Macaca fascicularis: one gene and its partners. The protein of the gene in region 3 purifies or fractionates together with the protein of the main gene of each other region. This does not show direct contact. Links are inferred from orthologs where the notes say so. Each region holds a gene or a part of one and is shown on either strand. Other genes may lie near its edges. The genes, in order: STRN4, MAP4K4, ZRANB1, GCC2, STRN, CTTNBP2 and CTTNBP2NL.

Region 1 (4,240 bases), on a different chromosome or scaffold from region 3:
GGGAGGCCGAGGCAGGTGGATCTCTGGCGGCCGGGAGTTCAAAACCAGCCTGACCAACGTGGCAAAACCCCCATCTCTACTAAAAATACAAAAATCAGCCAGGCGTGGTGGTGCACACCTGTAATCCCAGCTACTTGGGAGGCTGAGGCAGGAGAATTGCTTGCAACTGGGAGGCAGTGGTTGCAATGAGCCGAGATCATGCCACTGCACTCCAGCCTGGGTGACAGAGTGAGACTGTCTCAAAAGAAAAAAAAAAAAGGTCCACAGACAAGCCCTTCTGCTCATCTGCTGGGATCCTCGATAAATCACCCTCTCAAAACTTCCATTTCCTCGTGATTTTTTTTTAAAGGCAGGGGGAATATCCTTTACCCTTCCAGAAGGCCATAAGAATGAAATGACAGCTCGTATCTACAGTACTTGATACACAGCCCCAGACATGGTATGTGCTCACTAAATTGCAGCTGGTGCCGTTATTGCTGAGTGAGGTAATGACACTGCCTCTGCCTACATCACGGGGCACTGAGAAGATCTGATGAGATGTATGCTGGGAAAGAGCTTCGGAAGTAGAGAGTGGGACACAAGTGAGAGCAGTTACATAAGGATTCTGCTCCCACCCCAGCTCCAAGCCTCAGCCACCACAAGTGAGGGCAGGGGGAGAGTTACTTGAGGTCTTTACTCATCCTACGAACAAAATACCGTTTTTGTTGTTGTTGTTTTCTGAGATAGGATCTCACTCTTTCGCCCAGGCTGGAGTGCAGTGGTGCAATCATGGCTCACTGCAGCCTCAACCTCCGGGGTTCAAGCAATCCTCCCACCTCAGCCTCCTGAGTAGCCGGGACTACAGGTGCACATCACCACGCCCGGCTAATTTTTGTACTTTTTTGTAGAGATGAGGTCTTGCTATGTTGGCCAGGCTGGCCTGGAACTCCTGGGCTCAAGGGATCCTCCCACCTCAGCCTCCCTAAGTGCTGGGATTACAGGCATGAACCACCGCACCCCATCCCTACCAACAAAATTCTCATCAGTTATTTATTTGGGTGCCAGCTTCCACTAGATAGAAAACGGCAAATCGGAAGGGGAAACGTGGGCTGCTACAAGGAATACTAGCAGAAAAGTACTGACAATTTCTGCTAATAATAACCCAGTCCAAGAATCTTCAGACCTCCAGTGGGCCATTCCTAATCCCTTCAAATCCGGACATCTCCATGATCCTCCAGTCACTGCCAATGGACCTGATGCTCCACGAGGTCACAAACCCCAGCCCAACTCTTCAGACTCTTCCATACATCAGCCCGGAGCACATCCCTGTCCCAAGCTACCCCACAAACCATGGGGTCTTTTCCCAGGACTTCCACAAACATATCTCCTTCCCCCCAACCCCACCCTACCCCCGTTCTCTCTGAGATGCCTCCTCATGTTGCCTTCGGGCTCTACAAAATTCTCCCCCCTAAAGCATCACCCCAGGGTAACACCTAACTCGTCCTCATTGGCACCATCCCAGGACCCTCACCTCCATACTGGACATGCCCGACACCCCCACACTCCAGTTCAGGGTTCTCTTCCTACATCCTACACACACGTCCCATCTCAGTGCCATCGCGCCCACTCCTGCACACCCCCAAGTGGAACTTCCACTCTCAAGTTCTCCCACCCAGGCTCCTAGGGTACATCTCCTGCTCTGTCCACACTTCCACTCCAAAGATCCCTTCCCTGCACTCTGCAGCCACACACGCCCGGGATCCCCAAAGTTTCCCCTAAGAGGGAAAGGCACACACCTTCATCCTGGACCCCTCGAAACTCTCTTCCCACCTCTCGGGTCCTTACACAGCCACCCTTCCGTGCCCACTGTCCAGTCGCCCCGAAACACATCCATCTCAGGCTCCCGGACTTCCTCTCCCTAACTCCTCCCGGTTCCCGGTCTGGATCCGCTCTTTCCCAGCGTGTCCCAAGTCCCCCCTCGGACGCTTCTACTTCCCACCTGCACCTGGCTAGGGCCGGGGTCGGGGGTCCCTCTGCGCCCGCCGAGCTTCTGCTCACTCCCACAGGAGACCACTCAGGTCTTTCCCAGACCCCTCCAGCTCCTCTCCACACCCTTTCCCGAGTTCTCTTGGGCTCCCCTCCAGGGCCCGAGTCGCCTCTCTCAGGAGCCCCGCGGCCGGCGCGCTCAGTTCCAGTCCCAGTCCCACTCCCAGCCAGTTCTGGTACCTCGGCCCCTCTCTCTCGGCCGGTCCCGGTGATCCCTCCCACTCCCGGTCCCTCCACTCCCACCTCGGGCCGTCCCGGTCCCCTCCCACCCGGGGTGCCCTCAGGACACCCCTCGAACGGCCCCTCACTCGCCCTCCGGGACCGTCGCGGTCCCCTCCCGCCCCCCCCCGGCCGTCCCGGCGGCCATTGCTCCAAGATGGCGGCGGCGGCGGCGGCGGGTGAGGCCGGGCCGGGCCGGGCCGGGTGGGGTTGGGGGGTCGGGGGTCCCGGGACGGCGCTCACCTGTAACTCGGCGCGCTCGGCCTCCCAGCGGGCTTTCTCGGCTTCAAAGCGCGCCCACTCGTGCTGGATAAAGTGCAGGATCCCCGGCAGGCTCAGGGGCTCCGGGCCCGCCGTGGGCCCAGGGCTGCCTCCGCCGCCGCCTCCCTTACCTGCCGGGCCCGGCCCGGGGGCTGGGGCGGAGACCGGGGCCGCCCCAGTGGGGCCAGGGCCCGCGCCTGAGCCGAGCGGACGGCAGGAGGAGGCGGCGGCGGCGACCGCGGCGGCCGCTCGCTCCTCCATCATGGAGGCCCCGGGGCCGGCCCGCGCGCCCGCTGTGCTTCGCGCGCCTGCGCGGGCGCTCCAACACCCCCCACCCCCCCCCCGCACCACACACACCACCACCGCGCGCGCGCCTGACGGAGGACAGTGGGAAGAGGGGCTGGTGGCGAGCTCGAGGCCGGGCACGAGCCTCGCCCACCCGGGTCGACCCCAAGGGCTAGCGTGCCCGCGCGGGGGGCGGCGAGAGGGAGATCGCGCCCCGAGGAGGGCGAGGGAGACCCAGACCCCGCACGACGGTCCCCCTCGCTGGAGTGAGACTGAGGAAGGGGCCACTTTCTGCCCCCCTCCTCCTACTCCGCCCCAGAAAAAGAGCCTTACCCCTTCCACACCCAAACATCACTCTCCTGGACAATTACTTTTACTCTGAGAGAAAGGGCGACCAGCAGTGGCCCCATCCTCTCTGATTCCTGTCCAGGTCGGTTGTCATGGTAACCTTTCCCCATTGGTGGGGGCGAGTTGGTGGGGGACAGCCTTCCCCTCCCTTCCACCTTTGTGGTTATGGAGCCCCAAACCTCTTCGGACTCTGCACCAGGAGAAGGTTGCTAAGGTAACCTAAGTCCCTGGTGGTCCTTCTGCTCCTTTCCTCATTGGTTACTATGGCAACCCCCCACACCTAGCCTTCAGGTAGAAAGTACCCCAGCCCCAAAGACGCTGATCTCTAAGAGAAGCACCTCTTCCCCAGCCCCTCCCCCATAGCCACCTAGTTGGCATTACCATGGTAACCGTCTTCCCCTTCCCATTGTGGGAGGCCCATGCACCAAACCAACCAGGTGTTTTTATTTAGAGGAGGAGATGCTCTGCTGAGGGGCAGTTGCTATGGTTACAGGGCCTGGACCATCCTCTGGGGGACGAGAAACAGGCAAGGTCAAGGCCTGGTTACTATGGTAATAGAGAAGCCCCCTTCGAGTGACCCTAGGAACCAAGCCCAACCAAGGAGGGGAATTTTTTTTTTTTTTTTTTTTTTTTGGAGACGGAGTTTCACTCTTGTTGCCCAGGCTGGGATGCAATGGCCCGATCTCGGCTCACCACAACCCCTGCCTCCCTGGTTCAAGCCGTTCTCCTGCCTCAGCCTCCTGAGTAGCTGGGATTACAGGCATGTGCCACCACGCCTGGCTAATTTTTTTTTTTTTTTTTTTTTTTTTTTTTTTTTTTTTTTTTTTGAGATGGAGTCTCGCTCTGTCACCCGGGCCGGAGTGCAGTGGCCGGATCTCAGCTCACTGCAAGCTCCGCCTCCCGGGTTCACGCCATTCTCCTGCCTCAGCCTCCCGAGTAGCTGGGACTACAGGCGCCCGCCACCTCGCCCGGCTAGCTTTTTTTGTATTTTTTAGTAGAGACGGGGTTTCACCGTGTTAGCCAGGATGGTCTCGATCTCCTGACCTTGTGATCCGCCCGTCTCAGCCTCCCAAAGTGCTGGGATTACAGGCTTGAGCCACCG
Region 2 (3,500 bases), on a different chromosome or scaffold from region 3:
ACGCTATTGGGTTTAAAAGGGACAAGACGGACGGACACATATCAACATATGGATGTGTATTACGAAGCTGCCCTGCCCACCCCGCCCACTCCTGTCTGCGCATTCATGGCAGGCTCTCCACATGCAGGTATGAACTACAGAGCAGAGAGGGCCCAAGGAGGGCTCCAGCAGCCTTCCTGACTCTTTTACTTAAACCCTCCATCATCACACTCACTTTGACACGTGTTCACAATGTATACCTTGTCACAGTATGTCAGTAATACAATAGAGGGAATATTCACTCATCTATTACAAGTACATTAAAATAACCAATACTGATGACGGTATAGGCTCTGCAGCCCAGACTGAAAGAAATGGGTTCAAATCCTAGCTCACACATTAGCCCATTACTTTGGAAAAGTTAGTTAATCCCACTAAATTGTAAAGCACTCACAGTGCTAGGTATATATTAAGCTCTCAAAATTTAGCTCCTTTATGATTAAAATCAGGATGACTATTATTGTCACTGGCAACCTATGCTAAAACATTGTTTTGTGATGTGTGGCTACACGCAAACCACAGATTAAGACGAACTTCCAATATATGGATCACAGCCCAAAACATTAGCAGGGAAAAGGCAAAGGAAAGGCAGCCTACATCTCACTCTGAAGCGTTCCCCGGAGCCACTCTGAGACCCAGGGTGAGACCCGGGCTGGGATCCTGAGTTGCTGGACCCTGAGGAGCTGCCACTGCCAGGTCTGGGCACCAGCTTCTCCACTCTCTCCCACAGAAGCCTGGGCTCAATACTGCTGTGAGAAAAGAAGAAAAAAGAACAGCTAATGCATCATCTCTAGATGCCGTACCATCGTGTGTCCATCCAATGTCTTTAAAATGTAGGGAGGAGAAAAACAGTCTATAAACAGCATTCAACATTAAATTCACCAAAAGATAAAATGACATTATTCATGGATTTTTATCTCATATATTTTTAGTTTGTATGCTAAATGGTATCCTACCATTAGATCTAAAATCATCAGGCGTGATATACTACTACTGTTCAGTGTAGAAGTAGCACCATTTCTGTCACAGCTACATGTCAGTTCTTAACATTAGGAAAACACTCCATATTTGTATAATTATACGCAAAACTATATTCTGTTTCTAGGCGGCTGCTCTCACCTGCCTGTTGCTGTTCTCAAAAACTGACACTTACAAAGAATAGTCCTTTGTATGGGCTGTTAGAAATTGTACAGAAAGCATGGACTGGGATGGATTTCCTGCCATGGATGAACCCAAAGCACACATGTGCTAGGTAAGGATTAATGACACAGACTTGGTCACAGAAGAACACCACAGTCCCCCTGCCACTAGCAGTGCTGAGGATTCTGTGCAGCTTTTGGGCCATCATCCATCTGACACTTCAAGTCAGACCAAGGTTCCATGCGCAGAAGGCTAACTTCGGAGGTTCAGTGATGATTAAGATATAAAACATTCAACATAATCAGCTTTTCTTCCCTATGATAGTGCTGGTCAATGAAGCTTTCTGTTATGATGAAAATGTTCTATATTTGAGCTGGATAATATCATAGCCACTAGCTACATGTGGCTATAGAGCTCATGAATATACCCAGTGCACTACGGAATGAAGTTCCCACTGTATTTCATTTTAACTAAATTTAACCTTTAATTTAAATTTAAGGAAACTTCTGTAGCTAATTGTACTGGACAGAGCAGCTCTAGAACCTAAAAAGGATATTATTTGGTTAATTCACTTGCTTATTGCAGACTGTCAGTCAACAAGTGACTTCTTCAGTAACCTGTTTGTGATTTCTGTTTTATGCCACAGGCCTTACAACGTCCCTTAGATGAAAAGCTCCCTCTGATCACAGTTCTCTTAGAACTTCTCTCCCTTCCTTGGTGCTCCCTCCATTTACTCATACAGAGAAAAGTAGTTTAAATTTCAGAGTTGTTATATTCATGCACACCCAGATTCAAACCCACTTTTTACTACACATCAACTTGATGCCATCCACGTTGATGGATTGTATGGCAGCTTTTCCTTTTATACCTAATAATCTCCTTGCCCCAGAACTTCTGTGTTTAAGAGCATTTTTATGAAACAGACAATGTAAGGCTGTGGTAGACTGCACAGGAGGCCTGTTCTCAGCGCTCGCTTGTCTTTTACCTGGTGGAGTTTCTCTGTCCTGCCTGGCTATTCTGCTGCCCACTGCCCTGCAGTGGGGAATCTCGACGGGACAGAACAGGGGAGCGAGATGTTGTTCTCACAGGAACCTTTAAGTAGAAAATATAGCAATTAAATTATTGAAAACATGAGAAGGAAAAAAAAATATTTCCCAACCAAAATATATTTTTAAAGCAGTCCTAATATTTAAAAGCAGTCCTTCCTATCACCTCCACTCCCCACCCCCACTCCTTCCCTGGTCCTACACTGATACAATCGGACAGAAAATTTAGTCACAGGCATCCAAGAAGCCAGTACAAACAGTCTTTCTATGCTCCTGTAACATTTAAATGATGTCTGGACTGAAGCTTGGTAGCAGGGACATACAAAGCATTTGCTGAGATAACGTGAGAATCAGGAAATAAGCTCAAAGAAACCAAACAATGGTCTATAAATGGATTGGCAGGAAGCAAAGACTGGCAGGAAGCAAGAAAATATTCAGAGGAAGCAAATTCCAAATGAGGAAAAATAAATTGACATTGGCTCTTTTGTTTAATTTCACTAACATGTAAACACAAAAACAAAACAAAATCCCCTACATTTAAAAAGAAAATAAAATTTTTCTTATAAGACCTTTTCTAAAAGTTTTGACATTAATACTGCGAAACTGCATAGCTTCTGCATAAACATATAGAAAAACTGCTAAAATAAATTATGAATTTGTTTAAGAAGCCTATTCTTTGTAGACATACTCTTACATCATTTTGCTGCCTTATTTAGAGTTAACAACAATAAAACGCTAACTGGCCACTGGCTGAGTAAAACTGTCTAACTATGGAACTTTATCCTCACCATTAAAAAGTCCCTTTGAAATTTCAATGCCCCTTTAAATTTGGTAAAGTTGCATCCCCATAATTAAAATAAATAATCTTAAAAAAAAAGTAACAAAAAGGAAAAAAGCAGCACACATCTGTCTTTCTGCTCCTTACCCTTGGAGGCACCTCGTCACTGTCTGATCTAGACCAAGCCTTTTGGGTAGGGTCGGGCGTCTCTGACTTAGAGTCAGAGCTCTGACTGAGCACCTCACTGCGGGAAGGTGGACATGGGTCCTGAGAACGAAGATGGTGGTGTGCAAATTTGGGAGGAGAAGGGTCACTGAAGGAATGGGATCGCGAGACAGGGGAAACATTGTTCTTGAGAGATGCCAGGTGGGACCACTGTACCTTACAAGAAAACAAAACACAAAACATTCAATGCGTTCTGCATAAAACTGGCTTTTCTGGTCAATACCAAATCCAAAGCAGGAACTGGCAGAGGCAGAATACACACCGGGGCGGTA
Region 3 (4,244 bases):
GAGCAGATGGGACTACAGGCGCCCGCCACCTCGCCCGGCTAGTTTTTTGTATTTTTTAGTAGAGACGGGGTTTCACGGTGTTAGCCAGGATGGTCTCGATCTCCTGACCTCGCGATCCGCCCGTCTCGGCCTCCCAAAGTGCTGGGATTACAGGCTTGAGCCACCGCGCCCGGCTGATCTTTCAAATTCTATCTTCTCCTCACAAAATTTTAAGTATGAAAACTACAAGGTAAAGTCCCACTGGGAAAAAACAAAGATCTCTTGCTAGAAAAATTTCCCATACTCATGGGGTTTTAACAAATGGCTGGCTTATTTTGGCTATTTGGTTATTTTTACAGTACAAAAAGAAAGAAATACACATATCTGTTTAGAACTTGGTCCCAGGGGATTCTCCTAAGCAGTATGTTTTCCATAGCTGTAATTTATCCTCGGCCTGAAGATAGGTAAGGCTTATTTACAGAAATAAGGCTTATTAGGAAAGGTTTATTTCTAATTTACAGAAAAGGTATCCATAAGAAGGTTGGATTTTCCCAAGACTAGCGCCAGTAAGTCGTGGAGGAGAGCAAGACGCAAGGTCTCCATGACTTTTCATGGCGTGTCTATCTACGTACGCACACATGTACCATGCACAGAGCAACGAGAAATATACACATACATCCATATACACGGATAGCCCCAGCAAAGGCAGGGGTAAAAATCGGACACTGCAAAACATAAATTTAAAAAATCAAACCATCACAAAGCACCTAGAGCTTTGTCTTCCCTGGTGTTTTATGAAGAGCTTCAAAGTCCTTAAGAAAAAGTAAAGCAGCATTTGGGTTATACGTAGATCGCTTAGGCTACGTGAGACCTGGGGGTTAACTTAAAACTCCGGCGCATGTGTCGCAGAGACGAGGCAAAGCGCGCCTCCAGACACTGACGAGGACGCCCTCCGGGCCGCCGTCAGCCCGCGCCCCCGAGCGCCACGCACCCCACGGCGGTCCGGCACCCTCAGGCCCACAGCGGTCCGCGGAAGGGAACCAGCGCGGGGCCAACGCGCGCCACCGACTCACAATCGAGGCCGCGCTCCGGCTGACGTCACCCTCTTTCGACCCGCCCCCTGAGCCCGGAATGAGGCGGCCGCTCATTGGCTGCGCCGCCGGCGGCCTCGGGGCCAATGACAGGGCGGCGAGCGTCTGGGTCCGGCCTTGACGTTGTGCCGCTCGCCGCGGGGTTTATTTGGCTCCGGGTCCCTCGGCTGCCGCCATTAGGGGTCCGCAGCCCCGCGGCCGCCTCCCACACCTCACTGCCCCCGCCCCCCGGGGCTCCCCAGCCTCCGCGCCTCCTCTCCGCCCCTCTACCCCGGCCTCCGGCAGCCAGGAGCCGCGCGCGGACCCGCGGAGACCATGTCCTGACTGAGGGGAGAAGGCGGAGGCGGCAGCAGCGGGGCGGGCGGCGGCGCGGAGGGAGGCGGAGAGGGGACGGGCTCGACTCGTCGCCGCGGGCTGCGCGGGGAGTCGCCGCCGCCGCCGCCGCCGCCGCCGCCGCCGCCAAGCGCCCGTCGGACGGGGAGGAGGAGCAGGAGCTGGAGGGGGAGCCGCCGCCGCCAGGTAACCGGGCCCTGGGGGGCGCCCCACCGCGGCCTGCCGGGTCCCTCGCTTCCAGGCGGCGCCCAGGTTGCTGGGCCTCCCGGGCTGCCCGCCCGCCCGGCACCCCGGGGGCGGCCGCGTCGCAGGCGCGGGGAGGGCAGGGGCCCGGGCCGCCGCTGTCGGCCCTTCCATCTTAGGCGCTCCGGGTGCGGGGACGGCCCAGGGGCTGTGGGAGGGCGGGTCCGCCCAGCTTGTTTACCGACCGCCGGCCGGCCGCGGCTGGACGCCGTGCGGGTCCCGCCGCCGCTCTTCCGCCAGATTTCCCCACAACTTCTTTTCCTGCCGGAGACGGGTTAGCTAGTGGGGTTTCGGTCCCATTCCGCAATAGGCCGTAAACACTTGGGTCCATCGCCACAAGTTGGTTCTGGTCTCCAAACTTGTGTTTCAGTCCCTCGGCCACTTGCTTTCCACCTCCTGCGGTGGCCTCCAGTTGCCATTTCTAGGAAAATAAAGGTGGGGGACGACGAGGCGGGTGGGGAGGAGGAGCTGGAGCTAGTGGAAAGATTCGTCTACCCCTTCTGCTCTAAGTAACGAGTGTTCAGTGCAAGGATCTGTTTCTTCTCTGCTGTGGTTTGGTGCGGGTCATTTCACAGACAAAAGAACTGTAGTGAATGCTGGCATTAAGCGCAGGGAACAGGCAGTTTAGGTTAAGCCTGGAAGTTTGAACCGGCCCATTATCTTTGAGGTACACTAGTGTTTTGAAACTCTCTTGCTGAGAATTGTGTATTTCCGTCAGTTGATTACCCTTTTCTATAACTCCGTAGACTGTCGATTTAAGCGCCGCCCCATTTTACCAGTATTTTGGTTTCACCGTGTTTATGATGATGTTAATAAATCTAATATGCAAAAATACCGTTTTAGGAACACAATTCGAGTTTTTTTTTTTTTGAGACGGAGTTTCGCGCTTGTTGCCCAAGCTGGAGTGCAGTGGCGCTATCTCGGCTCACTGCAACCTCCAGCTCCTAGGTTCAAGCGATTTTCCTGCCTCAGCCTTCTGAGTAGTTGGGACTACAGGAATGCACCACCACGCCCGGCTAATTTTGTATTGTTAGTAGAGATGGGGGTTTCTCCATGTTGGTCAGGCTGGTCTCGAACTCCCGACCTCAGGTGATCCGCCCGTCTCTCGGCCTCCCAAAGTGCTGGATTTAGGCGTGAGCCACCGCGCTTGGCCTGAGAGAAATCTTTAACTCTGGGACCTATTCTGTAAAGAGTGATTTCTTTACCTGTGTGTTTTAGTTAACATCACTTGTGCAGTATCCAGCAGTACCCCTGTTTTGATCAAACATGGATGACTCAGTGTACAAAACATAAACCAGGGGAAACCATAAGGAATTTTGATCTCGCCTTGTGCCAAGGCTCTTGGGAAAGTCATCTGAACTATGGGAGAAATAAAGCTGGATTTTGTCTCCTTGTTATTATTTTGAGTTAAATGAAGTAATTCTAAAAAAATTTAGAATCCTCTTGACTTTTGGCTCTAAAGGTAGGCAGGCTCTTTATACTAAAATTTCATAACATTGTTTTTATTGGGCTGTTGGGGGTTTACGAGATAGTAGGACAGTAATGACACATTTTGCTCTTTTGAGGAGGATGTTATTTGAATGTCATGAAGGATTTTATTTCTGTTGCTGTTTTAGCGCCTTTTATTAATGCCTCAGAGCATTGGGACACCCATTTATTTACTCTTGAAATGTGCTTGGGTATGATGAACTCATTCATAGTAATATATTTTAAGCTCGTGGCCTTGATCCATGTCTGTACGCTGATAGGGGTTATGGCATGTCACATTTAAAGTCTGAGGATTAACATAGTTTTGGAACTCATGATCCAGTTGTACAATATTTGAGGGAAATTGCTTCATATGTGTAATTGATACAGTGAGAGCTTGTTCATGTGCTTTATAATAAATGTAAACTTTAAATGTGAATTACAGAAGTAGACCACTGACCTGGCCGGTGGCTCTTGCCTATAATCTCAGCACTTTGGGAGGCTGAGGCGGGCGGATCGCCTGAGGTCAGGAGTTCGAGACTAGCCTGGGCAACATGGTGAAACCCCGTCTCTACTAAAAATATAAAAAAATTAGCCGCGCATGGTATCGTGTGCCTGTAATCCCAGCTACTCGGAAGGCTGAGGCAAGAGAATCCCTTGAACCGCGGAGGCGGAGGTTGCTGTGAGCCGAAATCGAGCCACTGCACTCCAGCCTGGGTGACTGAGCGGGACTGCATTTGAAAACAACACAAAACAAAAGTAGACCACTATTAATTTGGTTCAGGTTTTTTTTTTTTTTTTTCCCTCCTCCTCCTCCTTTTTTTTTCTTGAGACGCAGTCTCGCTCTGTCGCCCAGGCTGAAGTTCAGTGGTGCGATCTTGGTTTACTGCAAGCTCCGCCTCCCGTGTTCACGCCATTCTCCTGCCTCAGCCTCCTGAGTAGCTGGGACTACAGGCGCCTGCCACCACGCCCGGCTAAGTTTTTGTATTTTTAATGTCACGGGGTTTCACCGTGTTAGCCAGGATGGTCTCTATCCTCCTGACCTCGTGATCTGCCCTCCTCGGCCTCCCAAAGTGCTGGGATTACAGGTGTGAGCCGCTGCGCCCAGCACCCCCTGCCTTTTTTTGTTTT
Region 4 (4,002 bases), on a different chromosome or scaffold from region 3:
CTCCGGAGCTGCCTCGGCTCTGCTTTTTTCCTCTTAACAATTTTGTCCTTAGGCTGCTTTTTCCTCTTAACAATTTTGTCCTCAGGCTGCTTTCTACCATAGCGGCAGCTGTCTGCCAACAGCAATCAGGGCTGTATGTTTCTTCAATCACATCCAAAGAAAGAGAAAATAGTATCACTAAACCAAAATACTAAATAGAAGTCTCAAAATTTCTGACTGTACATCTTAGGTCACACACCACCCCTGAACCAATCCTAGTCAAACACTATGGGTGATACACCCTGTCAAAGACAAAGAGTAGATGTCCACAATAACACTTCTTTTACCTAGTAATAAGCAGCTACCATTTACTGGTTACATACTGTATGCTGCCTCTTCATCCTTTTGACCATTTAAACTACAGGAAACTGAGTTATCTTCAGGTCACCTTAGTTATGGGAGTGTATGGAAAACATGAATGGAAAGGTAAAAGTGTAGCAAACCACTTCAGCAGTTAACAGAAAGGCTCTCAGAGCACTGGACCGCCAATCAGGACACTGCAGCAGCTCTGGGATTCGACCACAGATTCTTCGGCGTGCCCTCGTGCCCCCTATTCTACAGAGTCTCCTCCCACAGCTGCCCAGCTCCCTGGCAGACTATCTTGCCTCTACCACATCACCAGCAGTACTGGGCGGCTACAGGGCAGAGCTGTCCCGGGACCTCCTCACAGCCTCCAGAGTCAAGGAACGCCTCCTCAGGGAAGTCCTCCACCTCATCACTGACCTGTGAGTCACGGAGCTCCCGGGCACCATGCTGGCCACAAATGCCTAAGGAGCCACCCCCGGAAGCAACTGTGGGTCCCGCAGGCACTCGCAGGCTAGTAGACACCTTCGGGGCCTGAGGGACTTGTACTTCAATCCAATGCTCTCCTCACTCTCACAAGATTTTACAGACGTGGAAACCGAGGCCCCAAGGGGTAATCGGCCCGCGTTCCCATGCCAATAACCGGCGGTGGCGGGAACCACACCTACCCTGTGACCCGCAGGCCCAGGGGTCGAGCCCCAGGTAGAACGCCTACACCGACTCCGCCCTCGGCGCGGCGCGGGAAACCTTAACCCGGACACAGAGGCGTAAGCGGAAGTGCTGCCGAGCCGTAGCTATGGAGACGCGGGGGGCGGGCCGCCCGGAGAGCGCGACCTTTGACCTGCAGTCGAGCCTACGTCAGAGGCTGGCGCAAACAGAAGTGCAGCGGTGGCGGCGGCTGGTTGCGGGCCAGCGGCAGGCAGGCGGCGATGGAGGTAACTCAGGTCGGGCCCACTGCCTCCCATCAAGCCTTCCGCGCAGCTACTTGGGATGTGGGGGTGGGCCCGGTGGGAGGGCGCGGAGGGTACCCCGAAGCCCGCTCTGCAGTCGCCTGCCACATCTTCCCTAAACTCCATCCCTGGCGGTTACCTGTCCCCATAGAGCCCGTTTGTATACGATTTGCCACAGCGACCGCCTCCGTCCGCCCTCATTCTCTGTCTCACAAGGCTTTCCACCACTTGATTCCATAGAAGGTTTTTCCCTGTAAAGGTTCCACGCGTTCCGTGTGGGATTAGGAAAAGAGTTCTTCTGACACCTGCGTTTGATTTTGTTTTGTAGGATCCTGTTCAAGATGGGGTGGCTTCACCAGCTACCCCTGGGACCGGGAAATCTAAGGTGAAGAGGATACTTGAATAGCGGGCTCCCTGAAGACTGGAAGGGTGATGAATTGGAAAACTTTGGCATGAAGAAGGGGGGCGCTATATATATATGTATATATACACACACACATATAATTTATTTTTTTAATATCCTTGCTCCAAGGGATCTCAATTTTAGTTGACGCAGTCACCAATCCATTTCCTGTTTCTTTCTCCCCCGCCCACCCCGATATAAAAAGACTTTTTGTTTACTTCCTGCTCCTGGTTAGCACTGCTGGGAGATCCTGCGATTTTTCGAACATGAAACAAAGCAGTCTAATTTAAGAAGGTTTATATAGTGATGTAGTGGAAGGAGCAGTGACATAGTGTAGGGATCAAGGGATTCTGATCTGTGGGCTCCAGTTTTTACATTGTCAAAGCGTTGAATTAGTCCAGTTTTATGGCCTTGTACGGTGTTTAACATTTAATCATGCTAAACGATAGTAGTTTATTGCTAAGGTTTATTGCTTGCATGCTAAATTTCAGGCACTTGCCTAACCACTCAGTTACTTCATTTAAGCTTCATGATAACCGTGAGATAGGTACTGTTGTTGAGAAACCTGAGACCACAGGCTTAAGTAATTTTCTCAAGTGGTAAAGCTTAAACCTGAGACTACAGGCTTAAGTAATTTTTTCAAGTGGTAAAGCTTAATTTTTTAATTAAAGCCTGAATGTCACCTGGTTCATCTTGCTGCTGTAATTATGCTTACATTTTCTTGTGACACTTTCAGCCTTAAATAGAATGAAATACTTTTACAGCTCCAAGCAATTTTAAGTAGCATTAGCTCCAACCCACTAATTTTACAATTAAATCAAAAGCTAGCAATGTCAACCTGTAACATTAGCTATAAGAGGATATGCCCTGGTATTTGCGTTTAATAGTAGTCGCATAACTAATTTTTAGTACTTGCATAGCAATTACAGAGTTGACGTTGCATTTCCTTATTTTAAAAGATGTGGCCGGGCGCGGTGGCTCACGCCTGTAATCCCAACACTTTGGGAGGCCGAGGCGGGTGGATCACCTGAGGTCAGGAGTTTGAGACCAGCCTGGCCAACATGGTGAAACCCCGTTTCTACTCAGACTACAAAAATTAGCCGGGCGTGGTAGCGGGCGCCTGTGATCCCAGCTATTTGGGAGGCTGAGGCAGGAGAATTGCTTGAACCTGGGAGGCAGAGGTTGCAGTGAGCCAAAATCGTGTCATTGCACTCCGGCCTGGGCAATAGAGCGAGACTCTGTCTCAAAAAAAAAAAAAGTGGAACAAAGTATGCTGTTGGCATAAAGATTTATTCTGTAGAATGTTTTTGTTTTCTGGCAGACATTGTTTGTTTTTTGTGGTATACTAGAAACATGAGTTGTAACAAGTTGGTAACATAACCACATCTTTCAGCTGGAAACATTGCCCAAAGAAGACCTCATCAAGTTTGCCAAGAAACAGATGATGCTAATACAGAAAGCTAAGTCAAGGTGTACAGGTATTGGGTTGAAAATACTCATCTTGATCACAGTCTCTTTAATCGTGGTTTAAAATGGTAGTTTTTAAAATAATGCATTGGCTTGTTTTTGTTTTCCAGTGATTCCAAGTACACCTTAGTGTAGTAGAATCTGTTATTTAACATTCTAAAAATTTACCTCTGATTTCTAAATTATTCCCACGTCTTTAAACCACAGTGACTTTTGAGTTGTTAAAGTCAGGGAGGAGGATTTTTAAAGTTTGTGCAAGTTAAGTGTTTTTCCTTCATGTAGACTTTAGATTATTCTGAGTAAAGCGTTTTTTCAAGAGAAGTCAGTTGAAATGTTAGAGACAGAAGATAAGCCCAAAGAGATGGAACGCTTCCTCAATTAAAATAATAAAAGATTTCCATTTATAGACATTAAAGTATATTTATCTGTTGAAGTTGATTGATTCCCTATTCAGTTTTCTTTTTATTCCAGAAGGAAAAAGATCTTAGATCTTTTTCTTAGTATATGTACATGAGCTCTTGAATTTCCAGTGACTTACAAATATTAACTGCTTAGCCTAAAAGCCGAGACTTGTTTTCTATTAGAAAAGATAAAATTATGTCTTGGGAGTTTGGATCACTTTGCAATAAAGAGAATAATTTATTTGGAAAGAAGTTCTAGGCCTGAGATCTAGGCATTCGCTAGTGAAACACTTCGATTAACGTTTCGTTTCTTCTTTTTTTTTTTTTTTTTGAGACAGTGTTGCTCTTGTTGGCTAGGCTGGAGTGCAGGGGCACAATCTCAGCTCACTGCAACCTCCCCTTCCTGGGTTCAAGCGATTCTCCTGCCTCAGCCTGCCAA
Region 5 (3,500 bases), on a different chromosome or scaffold from region 3:
ACACCTGGCTGAAGACCTACCATCATAGTCTCACATGAGTCATTCGACTGATATTTTTGACCTGAAAATTGCTGTTCTAACTTAAACAATTCCTTTTCTTCTTTAGTAAATGTTTAGAGTTGTTTGAACTTCTCAGATGATATATGGTATTTTGGGTAAAACCTATTTTTATTTTTGCTACTGTATTGTATGGTGGTTTGATAATGTCTTAATTTATGCTCTATTTTGTTCTGATGAGGATTTTAAGAGTTTGTCACTACTGTTTTTAAAAGCAAGTAACTATTTTTAAATTTTTTTTAAAAGACATGGTCTTGCTCTGTCGCCTAGGTTGGAGTGCAGTGGTGCAGTCATAGCTCACTGTAGCCTCAAACTCCTGGGCTCAAGAGATCCTCCTGCCTCAAGCCTTCCAGGTAGCTAGGGCTAGAGGCATGCACCACTGTGCTTGGCTAATTGTTAAAAAAAATTTGTAGAGGCCGGGCGTGATGGTTCATACCTGTAATCCCAACACTTTGGGAGGCCCAGGCGGGCGGATCACTTGAGGTCAGGAGTTTGAGACCAGCCTGGCCAACGTGGCAAAACCCCATCTCAACTAAAAATACAAAAATTAGCCAGGCATGGTGGCATTAGCTACTTGGTAGGCTGAGACAGGAGAGTTTGCTTGAACCTGGGATGCGTAGGTTGCAGTGAGCTGAGATTGCACCACTGCACTCTAGCCTGGGTGACAGAGCGAGACCCCTGTCTCAGATTTTTTTTTTTTTTTTTTTTTTTTAAAGAGATAGGGGTCTTGCCCTGTCGCCCAGGGTGGTCTCAGACTCCTGGCCCCAAAGGGTCCTCTCACCTTGGTATCCCAAAACACTAAGATTACAGGCATGAGCCTCCGAACCTGGCCAATTCTTTCATTTATTCAATGAGTATTTATTATCATACATGATTGAATATAAATCTGAAAAATGTCTTGTACATGTACTAGTCAATACAGTTGACTTGTTTCTTTTAAGAAAATTACCCCTTTAGCAGCTAGGGTTTGAACTACTAAATTCATCTTACTGAATCACAAATGTTTGTCATATATAACCACCTCTAGGAAACTACTCAAAGACCATCTCTGACGTTTGTCAGAACAATTTGCATTTATGGAGAGTGACATTTTGTTATTGACCAAATTAATAAAATCATTAATATGACATTTTGCTTTTGACTGATTTTTCTATGATGGTTGTTGAAGGACTTGGATTGGTATGTTCAAAATGTTACAAAATAGGATATTTCAAGTTATTCACAAAGTAAAACTGACATTTTTGAAGTACACAGTTCACAGCTAATGAAAGTGTTCAAATGGACACTTTAAATTTTCTCACCAGGTGTGGTGGCTCATGCCTGTAATCCCAGCATTTTGGGAGGCCGAAGCGGGTGGATCTCCTGAGATCAGAAGTTTGAGATCAGCCTGGTCAACATGGTGAAACTCCATCTCTACTAAAAATACAAAAATTAGCCAGGCATGGTGGCAGGCACCTGTAATCCCAGCTACTTGGGAGACTGAGGCAGGAGAATCGCTTGAACCCAGGAGGCGGAGGTTGCAGTAAGCTGAGATCACGCCATTGCACTCCAGCCTGGGCCACAGAGCATGACCCCATCTAAAAAACAAAAAAACAAAAACAAAAGCAAAAAATTTTCTTTACCGGGTGCGGTGGCTTACGCCTGTAATCCCAGCACTTTGGGAGGCCAAAGCAGGTGGATCACTTGAGGTCAGGAGTTCGCGACCAGCCCGGCCAACATGGTGAAACCCCATCTCTACTAAAAATACAAAAATTAGACAGGCATGGTGGCACGCATCTGTAATCTCAGCTGTTCGGAAGGCTGAGGCAGGGAGAATTTCTTAAATCCAAGAGGTGGAGGTTGCAGTGAGCCAAGATGTCACCACTGCACTCCAGCCTGGGCGACAGAGCAAGACTGTCTCAGAAAAAAACATAAAAAAATAAAAAATATTATCTGAAGTAAACATTTTTAGATGAAGTATAATATACCTACAGAAGAGTGCTGATATTACAGCTCAGTGAATTGTCATCAAGGTAGAATTATTACCCTCCCATGTCACCACCCCTTAAGTCAACAAGTAGAACATTACCAGGGCCCTAGAAGTCCTGTGTTGCTTCTTTTCTTTAATCACTACCCCTCTCCTGCCCAGCAGAGGTAATCCTGACTTGTAACACCACATATTGATTTTGTCACATAAACAGGCACATTTTAGAGTTTGACCCATTTTCATTTGAAATTTTCTATACTCTTCTAGGTTATAAAATTAATGAATTATATTTTGAATGAGACCAGCACTTGTTACATATATTTAGTAATTAATAGAAATTGTTTAGGTAATTAGCATGAAATATCAAACAAGGAAAACTTACTTTCCTATAGTCATTATTTTTTATATAGTGAAAATGAAAGGACAGTGGATTCTTAGATTTGTTTCCTGTTTTACTTTTCTAATTAGTTGATGCCTTTACCTGTGGTTAAGATATGGAAAAAGCAATAAATTATTTAGGATTTTCTGCCCACTGAATTTTATTGTGTTTAAAAGCATTTAAAAACGATTAAGTGTATACGTGCACTATAAGAAATTTGATGCAAGCAAATGAAACTAAATGTTGGCTCCTTAGAGATTTTTAAATGTTTCCTTTGTCTTCCCTCTTCAGTGGAAGCATTGACATTTCCTCCTTCTTCTGGAAAGTCATTTATCATGGGAGCAGATGAAGCCCTTGAAAGTGAACTGGGACTTGGAGAACTAGCAGGCCTTACGGTGGCCAATGAAGCAGACTCCCTAACTTACGATGTAAGTAGTAGTTTTGTTTTTGATGTTTTTACTTGGTTTTTAAAAATAAAAACTTGCGCTGGGCACAGTGGCTCACGCCTGTAAATCCAATGCTTTGGGAGGCCGAGGCGGGCGGATCACTTGAGGTCAGGAGTTCAAGACCAACCTGGCCAACATGGAGAAATGCTGTCTCTACTGAAAATACAAAAAATGAGCCAGGCATGGCGGCAGGTGCCTGTAATGCCAGCTACTCGGGAGGCTGAGGCAGGAGAATTGCTTGAGCCTGGGAGGCAGAGGTTGCAGTGAGCCAAAACCACACTACTGCACTCCAGCCTGTGCAACAGGGTGAGACTCTGTTTCAAAAAAGTAAAATAAAATAAAAAGTTGATTTTATAGAAAATGAAGACAGTGGTAAAACTTCTTTACAAATATAGAACTTGGTTCAGTTTCCATTGAAAACTTTGAAAGATACATAAAGAAAAACTAACATTTTTCCATAACCTAGAGATGAAAATTATGGGCTTTACCTAAATCCATAATTTAGTATGATTTGTGTATTGGTTTTTGATAGGGGAAAGAATTCCTTTTTCCATTACCAAATTTGAATTTTGTTTTCTGTTTCAGGGCACCAGCAATTAGTTGTAATTCATGCCTACCTAAACAATATTTGCTTTGCTTCTTTAGTACATAA
Region 6 (3,168 bases), on a different chromosome or scaffold from region 3:
ATTGAAATACTCTGAAGGGAAAGATCACCAATGTGTGACTTATAGAGGGCTAAGAAAAATACTACCATTTAGGACAGCAGTCCCCAGCCATTTTGGCCCTAGGGACTGGTTTCTTGGAAGACAATTTTCCACGGACCTGGGTAAAAGGTATGATTTCTGGATGAAACTGTTCCACCTCACATCATCAGGCATTAGATTCTCGCAAGGACTGGGCAACCTAGATCCCTCACTTGCACAATTCACAAGAGGGTGTGCACTCCTATGAGAATCCAATGCTGCTGATCTGGCAGGAGGCAGAGCTCAGGTGGTAATGCTGGCTTGCCCCCGCTCACCTCCTGCTGTGCTGCCCAGTTCTTAACAGGCCATGGACTGGTCCACAGCCTGTGGGTTGGGGACCCCTGATTTAATTGGTCAGTGGAGGAAAAGGATATTGAGGAGTTAAGCTAGGGGTTCTTAATTTTGGCCACATATTAGAGAAGATTTTTTAAAATCCTATGTCCATGCCACACCCCAGAACTATTAAATATGAATCTCTGGTAATAGGGCCCAGCCAATGACTGTTAAAGCTCCCCCAGGTGATTCCAATATCATGTAAGACGATACCCAGGAGAATGCAACTGCCAGGTGAAGTTAGATTTTTCCTGTTAAATTTTAGTTTTGTTTTAAATCTTTTAATGGTTATATTGCTGTTGGCTGCATTATTACCTGTGAAGAGGGGAAGTTATTAAGGTCAGCTCCTTCAGAGGCTTTCAGAGTAGCTCACTTAGTAGGAGTCATATCATGTTTGTTAGTTTGCAGAATTTGATGCAATATAGGGGAAAACACCTTGAGTGGAAGTTGGGAGACCTGAGGTCTTGTCCCAGCTTCACCACTCCGTTCACTGTGGGCAAATCATCTTACCTATCCAGCTTTCAGATTCTTCATGGGCAAAAAGAGACATTGACCAGGTAATCACAGGAGTTCTGAAACACTAGAGAAAGGAGATACATGCAGCTTCCAAGTATGGAAGATCTTGAGCAACCTAATCATAGATGAATGTAGGCTCTGCTAGGGAAGGGATGTTTCTCTTATGTTTTCTGCTCTATGCCCCCAGATTATTTGATTATTGAGTAATAGGTCACTTTTAGGACATGAAAGTAGAAGGCAGAAAAGTTAGGTAACTTACCCAAGGTGACAGTCTGCAGAGCTACCTACAAATTGGACTACTCCAATTTGGTGATTTCCTCATGCCTGTAATTTTGTGAAGTTTCTGCTGGTAAGGAGAGCGATGCCTTAGCACTTGATTCACTGACTCCTATATTTAGCAATTTTGTAACACCAGACGGGGACTAATGAAAATCATGCAGTAAATCTATAGGAAATTAATTACTCAGCTTGTCCTCTCCATTTTCTTTTGATTTTTCATGAGAACCTATAGTTTTAGAAACTCCTGCGCATTTGCTCAAAGAGGAGGCAGGGGTAGGGCTCATAACAGGAGAAGTTGGTGACAATGGCAAATGTGATAAACTTGTGTGGTTTCTCGTCTCTTACAGGAGGTCAGTCCTCTCAGCAGCCATCAAACTACTGAATGCAGCAACAGTAAATCAAAGACTGAGTTGGGTGTTTCAAGAGTTAAATCTTTTCTTCCTGTTCCTAGAAGTAAAGTCACCCTGTGTTCCCAGAACACCAAAAGAAGCAGCAGCAGCAGTAATACAAGGCAAATAGAAATCAACAACAACTCAAAAGAAGAGAATTGGAACTTACACAAAAATGAACACCTAGACAAACCTAACAAATAGGCCTGCCTACAATATTCTCACTATTAACTTCCTCTGTTTCACACAGAAACCAAGGACAACAAGATATAAATACCTTTAAATGGATAAAATGTTTTCACTGTAATATAAGTTATGAGTGCGGGACCACTATTCAATTTTTTTTGTAAAGAATGTATTTATAACCAACATTTTGTTGCTTTTTTTTTTTTTTTAAATTCTGTAGGATTGAACTTCGATACCAAGAAGTTATGCCAACTTTTCAAGTAGTTTTATAATAGAAAAAATTGTAATAGTTTTAATCAAGATGTTCAGGGGTATTAAAACAGAACTGTGTACTGTATATCTGTATATATGTATATATGTATGTATATTTAAGGAAGTCCACAAATCATACTACATACATGCTACAAAATGTATAACTTTGGCTTAGATAACATGTACCATTTTAAATGGAGATCATAATTTTATGTTCACTTGATGGGGAATGACTAGAATGGGGCAATAACAAATCATTTCTAAACAGTTATTTTCCATTAAAAGCCATATTAAGTATTTTGCTTGTTAAATTCTAGTTTTATGTTTTAAATCTCTTAGTAGTTACATTGCCATTTGGTAGCATCATGTATATATTTATGCTTATGAGTTTGCATTATGACTCCTGTAAAATATGAAATTATAATGCAATAAAAGTGTTATCTTTCTTACAAAAGTTTTGTACCTAAGTGGATATAAATAACTGCATAAATGAATAAATTAATTCAGAATTAACTCCTTCAATATTATTTCTAGCAGCACAACTGATAATAAAATTGATATTTTCTACAAGTGTTACTTCTAAAATTACAGACAAAATTACTTATACAACTCAGTTAAGATGCTTTGACACTGAATAAAATATTGATTTAGTGAAATCATTTTGCTGTACTTTTTATCTATAGCTCTTTGTAGTCTATGCAACAGATAATTTGTGTTCAATTTAGTAATGCTCATAAAACTTGCCTTCCATGTTAGTATTTCACTAGCTATTCACAAGATTCAACCCTATTAGAAATATCTTAAATACTTAAATGGAGCACCAGGAATTGGGTGCTCAGGGGTTAAAACATCTTCTTTTTCATAAATACCAAAGAAGTATGATTGTACCAGGAATCATTTACTTGTCCAAAGTCATTGAAAGCCTTTTTTTGGCCAGAATGGTTATTTACAATGAAGTATACATACCTGCATTGTATTGCTATTACAAAACGGCACATACCTTAAAAATAACAATGTAAAGATTATGTCACTGATCTTGAGAACAAAACTGAATGCTCTCAAAATCATAGATCATATCTACATTCAGGTGGTTCTAATGTGTTTTTTTTTCCTGCTCACATACACCTGCTTAAATTATATCTAATTTGATTTGTTA
Region 7 (4,183 bases), on a different chromosome or scaffold from region 3:
TACTAGCTCTATGACTTTATTTGACTTCTCTGAATCTCTATCTTCTCATCTGTAAATTGGACACAATGGTGTCTATCCTACACTGTACGACAGATTTCTCATACAGTACTGAAGATGACATCAAATACCATTTAAATGAAAGTACATGGCACAGTGATAACATGATAAATACTCGTTTACTTCTTTCAGACTATAATCGCACAGACTGATCACATCCCTCGGTCAGACTGTAAACTGCATGGGGCAGGCGGCATCTGCCTTGAGGACTGTTTGCCTAGGCAAGTACTAGGTCCCTAATGCTGTCTTGCGAATTATAATTGCTAAGTTTAGGGATAATGTATTAAGTGTACTACATTATTTGTGCATTATAAATATTCGTCTCAAATATTTACTATATTGTATTTAAAATAATGTGGTTATCGTAAATGTAACCAGCTGAATCAATCTGTGAGCTGACAGCCATTCTGTGGAAATGGAATTCAGAAACTTTGACTTCAGGTAGGGATACAACTAGTTATACATCCACTCCCCTTTCTGAGTTACTCGGTCCTGCCTAAGACTTGCTGCCACCAAGATCTGCATTCCTGTGTTCACAAGGCAGACATTCCTTGCATCCTCTGTACTCTCCATTGTTTAACTTCACGGCAAACACCATTCCCCGCAATATAATGAGGCCAAGGACAGAAAAAAGTCGCCTCAGCTGGCAAGCATAGTGTGGAAAAACCTGCCACACAAATTTGCAATTATTCGATTTCTGCCTGGAAAGCAGGTCGGCTGGATTTATGTCCCCCAAAATTAGTATTCTCTTCTGTACAAACTGTGGTTGAGAGAAGGGTGATCTCCAGGTGTTTCATCTTTGCACCCTTGCTTGCAGCACCACGCCCACAGTTGCGTCCAGAAAAAAGAAAAAAAGGGGGGAGCAAGGAAGCCAGGTTTTCAACAACTAATTCATTCTAATGCAGACATCAAAGCCCACTTCATTTATTAACATTCTGGAAAAAATCCCAATCGATCAGGCCACCAGAGCCCTCCTTTCCTAAACTCCCCGTACAGTCAGGGAAAAGCACTAAGCACTAGCCACGGTCCTGCCCAGAAACCACGCAGAGGTGGAAAGTTGCAGACCAAGGGCCGGGAGGGGCACGAGCCCATCCTGAAGCCCGGGACCGAGGACGGCGCTTCCTCCCGGAAGTGACGCGAGCTCAATCCCAGCCTTGCTCTTCCCAAACAAAAGGGATCTTGGGGCCCCGGGAGGAGCCTGAATGACATTGGAGAAGCTCCGCCTCCAGCCGGCGCGGATTGGGGACAATGCTGGAGAAGCAAGGAGGCGATTGGCGCTGGTGAATGCCAATGCCCCCGCCGGGCGGCTGAGGGGGCGGGGCCTCTGCCGCTGTGGATGGGGAGTAGAGGCGGAGGGGAGCGGAGCCCGGTGCGTCGTGGAAAGGTAGGAACCACACTCCCTGGGGCTTGATGATGGCTGAGAGGCCGGGTTCTCAAGAGCAAAGCAAGTATAGGGGCACCGGTAGCTTCTCGCCGCTGTCCTAACGGCCTCTGGGCCCATCCCCTGAGGGGGCGGGGCCATCTCCTCCACCTCCCGGTATTCCCCGAGGAGGCGGCTCCTCATCCTTTGAGGGTCCTCACAGCTACTTTTTGTCCCTCGTCGATTCCCAGCTCCTCAGAAGGGGCTTCCCTCTGATACCCCTCATTCAAAGGCTCTTCCCACCCCGCACCTCAGCCTTGGAGGAGAGGACTCACAGGTACCGTACCGATTCTCTAGGCTGCCGCCCCCAACCCCGTTTTGCACCCCCGGAAGGCCAGACATCCCTCCCTACACCTGTCTCTGCTCTCCAGGGTGGGACTGGAGCTGCTTTCCTCCGTAAGATAAAATTAGTGTTTCCCAAAAAAGAGGGATGGGGCGAAGCGAAAATCAAAGACCGACCTAGACAGCCAGCTTTACCGAGGAAACGGCTTCTCCCACTTAAGTTCTTCCCATCCCCCATTCTCTGATGCTCAGTCTTCCTCCCGCCGCCCCTCACATCCTCTGGCCTCTTGTGAGGAGTCGAGAGCTCTCCTGTTTTGGGACTTCTTTGGACTCTGAAAGAGGGAGAACTAGGACCTCCTCTCCCTCGCCCTTTGTACCTTTCTTCTACTTTCTGTTCCTTCTGGGAGAACCCAGCCTCTAAGGGTTTCTTAGGTTTGAATTGCGTTTCATTTTTCCTTTTCCACCCTATTTCTTCTCTGAGAACTTGATGAAAAGCCATCTTATATTTCACAGTGAGGTGGGTGTGTTGGATATCTGCAGAGTTGGCTTTGTGTGGGCAGGAATGCAGTGTATGTTGCTTGACAGTCAATGAATAACACCATGTTTTCAAATGAAACAGTATACGTAAGTAAATAAATAGCAGTGGATTAGGAATGAGTATATCCCAGTCTAGGATGGGCTGGTCCATTGCTCAGGGAGACTGCAGTTAACCTTGAAGGTATACTGCAGTTTGAAACAAAAGGCAGGAAGTGTTTGAAGAAAATTCAGGGTCAGTCATCTAGGCTTATGATTAATCTAGTCCTGTGTCCTTTGGTTACTCTCTAACCCCTTTTTTATAGTGTCTCCCCCGCCCCCAGGAAACATTCATGTATATTTTGATTGGTTTTACGATCATCTATCAAAATTTAGACGATGAAAAGTAATTTTTTAATCTCAGAGATCAAAGTAAATAAAGGCAAGGTGTTCTAGCTATTCATGTTTACCAAAAAGTGCCTCTAGTGTGCTCCTAAAGGTTTTGTCAAGTGGCCTTCATTTCAGCAGGTGCAAAGTGTTGATTTTGACCTCAAGTTAATGTCGTTGAATCCCCAGTAATCATCTATCGCTAGCACTTTTATATATTAAAATTTACCATATTTTTAGCATAGTTTTTTTTTTGCTTTCAATCTCAAGTCCACCTCCCCGCTGTCAACTATAGCCAAAGCTGATGGCAATGAAGTTCAAGGAGTTGGAATCACAGAGGGTGATTGTAATGACTGTTGTCTTTTACCTTCTTGATTAGACTTCCTGAGGGTAATTATTTTTGAATAGTTAGAATTGAAGGTTTCAGAGTGCTCACAGATCTTCTTAGTGAGCGTTTCCAAATCTCCAATAAGAAAGCACAAAGAAGAAACTGGAGGGTGTCTCTAGCAAACACAATGTGTGCTGCAATAGAAGGGTAAAACATGGGCTCCCTGCAATAACAGCAGAAAAAGCTAAAAGTAGAACAGAAAATCCCAAAAAGATAAGTTGTATTACATCAGCAGAGAACAGAAAATAAACTAAGGTAAGAGACTAAGCAAACCAAAGTTGTGGTGATTGCTGAGCTTTAATAGGAAAAAGCAAATAATGTTCTTTTATTATTTAGCACAGTAAGCAAGATCTGTTTGTTACACTTTTGGGTCTTGAAAATCTTTCCTTTAACCTTTTCAACACCTGTTTGGTCATGCCAGATGAAGAAAAGCGTAGTATGCAGGGGATATATGTCTGATCTCTCTCCTTGAATTATAAATTCTTTGAGGGCAGATAGTAGTATTTTTTGTTTTTCGTCTTTGTCTCTTTCACAGTTCCTGGTATATAGTATGACTTAATGAGTGTTTGTTTAACTTAGTTTGAAGCTGTCACCTTAGGGTAGACTGAAAGGCAATGCACTGATTAGATGTGGCACAACTTGTTAGTATAAACCGTCTACTTGTTGTCTTCATTTAACTTGATTTTCCCCATCTGCTGTCTTATGAAATTCCAGTGTCTTAAGTGACTAAAATTTTGAATTTCTTATAAAGAAATATCTGTGAGGCAGGATGTGGTGGCTCATCCCTGTAATCCTAGCTACTTGGGAGGCTGAGGCAGGAGGATTGCTTGAGCCCGGGTGTTTGAGGTTACAGTGAGCTATGATCATGCCACTGCACTCTCCAGCCTGGGCAGCAGAAAGAGACCCTGTCTCTTAAAAAAAAAAAAAGCAGTTAAAAAAAATATATATATATATAAAATCTACTGGTTAGAAAATACTATTTTTACTGTCATGAAATTTGCACCAGACTTAAGAACATAATGAGTGCTAATCATTTCAGGATTTTATTGTTTTAAATATCTGACCCGATAGGAATGAAGTGAATTTAGAAGAGCTCACTAGGGACTGATTGTTTACTGATTTTTGCTCAAGAATAG

What was found.
Region 1: the proteins of ZRANB1 (region 3) and STRN4 purify together in Homo sapiens (affinity purification with mass spectrometry; 4 studies listed by BioGRID and IntAct, with this or other methods). This does not show direct contact. The link is inferred for Macaca fascicularis from reciprocal best matches to the Homo sapiens genes ZRANB1 and STRN4.
Region 2: the proteins of ZRANB1 (region 3) and MAP4K4 purify together in Homo sapiens (affinity purification with mass spectrometry; 3 studies listed by BioGRID and IntAct, with this or other methods). This does not show direct contact. The link is inferred for Macaca fascicularis from reciprocal best matches to the Homo sapiens genes ZRANB1 and MAP4K4.
Region 4: the proteins of ZRANB1 (region 3) and GCC2 purify together in Homo sapiens (affinity purification with mass spectrometry; 3 studies listed by BioGRID and IntAct, with this or other methods). This does not show direct contact. The link is inferred for Macaca fascicularis from reciprocal best matches to the Homo sapiens genes ZRANB1 and GCC2.
Region 5: the proteins of ZRANB1 (region 3) and STRN purify together in Homo sapiens (affinity purification with mass spectrometry; 4 studies listed by BioGRID and IntAct, with this or other methods). This does not show direct contact. The link is inferred for Macaca fascicularis from reciprocal best matches to the Homo sapiens genes ZRANB1 and STRN.
Region 6: the proteins of ZRANB1 (region 3) and CTTNBP2 purify together in Homo sapiens (affinity purification with mass spectrometry; 3 studies listed by BioGRID and IntAct, with this or other methods). This does not show direct contact. The link is inferred for Macaca fascicularis from reciprocal best matches to the Homo sapiens genes ZRANB1 and CTTNBP2.
Region 7: the proteins of ZRANB1 (region 3) and CTTNBP2NL purify together in Homo sapiens (affinity purification with mass spectrometry; 4 studies listed by BioGRID and IntAct, with this or other methods). This does not show direct contact. The link is inferred for Macaca fascicularis from reciprocal best matches to the Homo sapiens genes ZRANB1 and CTTNBP2NL.

Annotation. Positions count from the first base shown.
Region 1 is NC_088393.1:54,747,706-54,751,945, forward strand, and holds the start of STRN4 (striatin-4), read right to left. Parts: upstream 2,801-4,240; 5' UTR 2,770-2,800; coding exon 2,488-2,769; intron 2,424-2,487; exon of another isoform or gene 2,387-2,423; intron 1-2,386. UniProt on the Homo sapiens protein: Calmodulin-binding scaffolding protein which is the center of the striatin-interacting phosphatase and kinase (STRIPAK) complexes.
Region 2 is NC_088387.1:6,341,035-6,344,534, reverse strand, and holds part of MAP4K4 (mitogen-activated protein kinase kinase kinase kinase 4), read right to left. Parts: intron 3,385-3,500; coding exon 3,151-3,384; intron 2,272-3,150; coding exon 2,165-2,271; intron 789-2,164; coding exon of another isoform or gene 786-788; coding exon 637-785; intron 4-636; coding exon 1-3.
Region 3 is NC_088383.1:133,885,944-133,890,187, forward strand, and holds the start of ZRANB1 (ubiquitin thioesterase ZRANB1), read left to right. Parts: upstream 1-1,444; 5' UTR 1,445-1,589; intron 1,590-4,244. UniProt on the Homo sapiens protein: Ubiquitin thioesterase, which specifically hydrolyzes 'Lys-29'-linked and 'Lys-33'-linked diubiquitin. Also cleaves 'Lys-63'-linked chains, but with 40-fold less efficiency compared to 'Lys-29'-linked ones.
Region 4 is NC_088387.1:15,941,707-15,945,708, forward strand, and holds the start of GCC2 (GRIP and coiled-coil domain-containing protein 2), read left to right. Parts: upstream 1-1,202; 5' UTR 1,203-1,271; coding exon 1,272-1,286; intron 1,287-1,620; coding exon 1,621-1,677; exon of another isoform or gene 1,678-1,721; intron 1,722-3,088; coding exon 3,089-3,173; intron 3,174-4,002. UniProt on the Homo sapiens protein: Golgin which probably tethers transport vesicles to the trans-Golgi network (TGN) and regulates vesicular transport between the endosomes and the Golgi.
Region 5 is NC_088387.1:85,309,222-85,312,721, forward strand, and holds part of STRN (striatin), read left to right. Parts: intron 1-2,693; coding exon 2,694-2,830; intron 2,831-3,500. UniProt on the Homo sapiens protein: Calmodulin-binding scaffolding protein which is the center of the striatin-interacting phosphatase and kinase (STRIPAK) complexes.
Region 6 is NC_088377.1:159,151,941-159,155,108, reverse strand, and holds the end of CTTNBP2 (cortactin-binding protein 2), read left to right. Parts: intron 1-1,532; coding exon 1,533-1,778; 3' UTR 1,779-2,668; downstream 2,669-3,168. UniProt on the Homo sapiens protein: Regulates the dendritic spine distribution of CTTN/cortactin in hippocampal neurons, and thus controls dendritic spinogenesis and dendritic spine maintenance.
Region 7 is NC_088375.1:121,993,843-121,998,025, reverse strand, and holds the start of CTTNBP2NL (CTTNBP2 N-terminal-like protein), read left to right. Parts: upstream 1-1,383; 5' UTR 1,384-1,754; intron 1,755-4,183. UniProt on the Homo sapiens protein: Regulates lamellipodial actin dynamics in a CTTN-dependent manner. Associates with core striatin-interacting phosphatase and kinase (STRIPAK) complex to form CTTNBP2NL-STRIPAK complexes.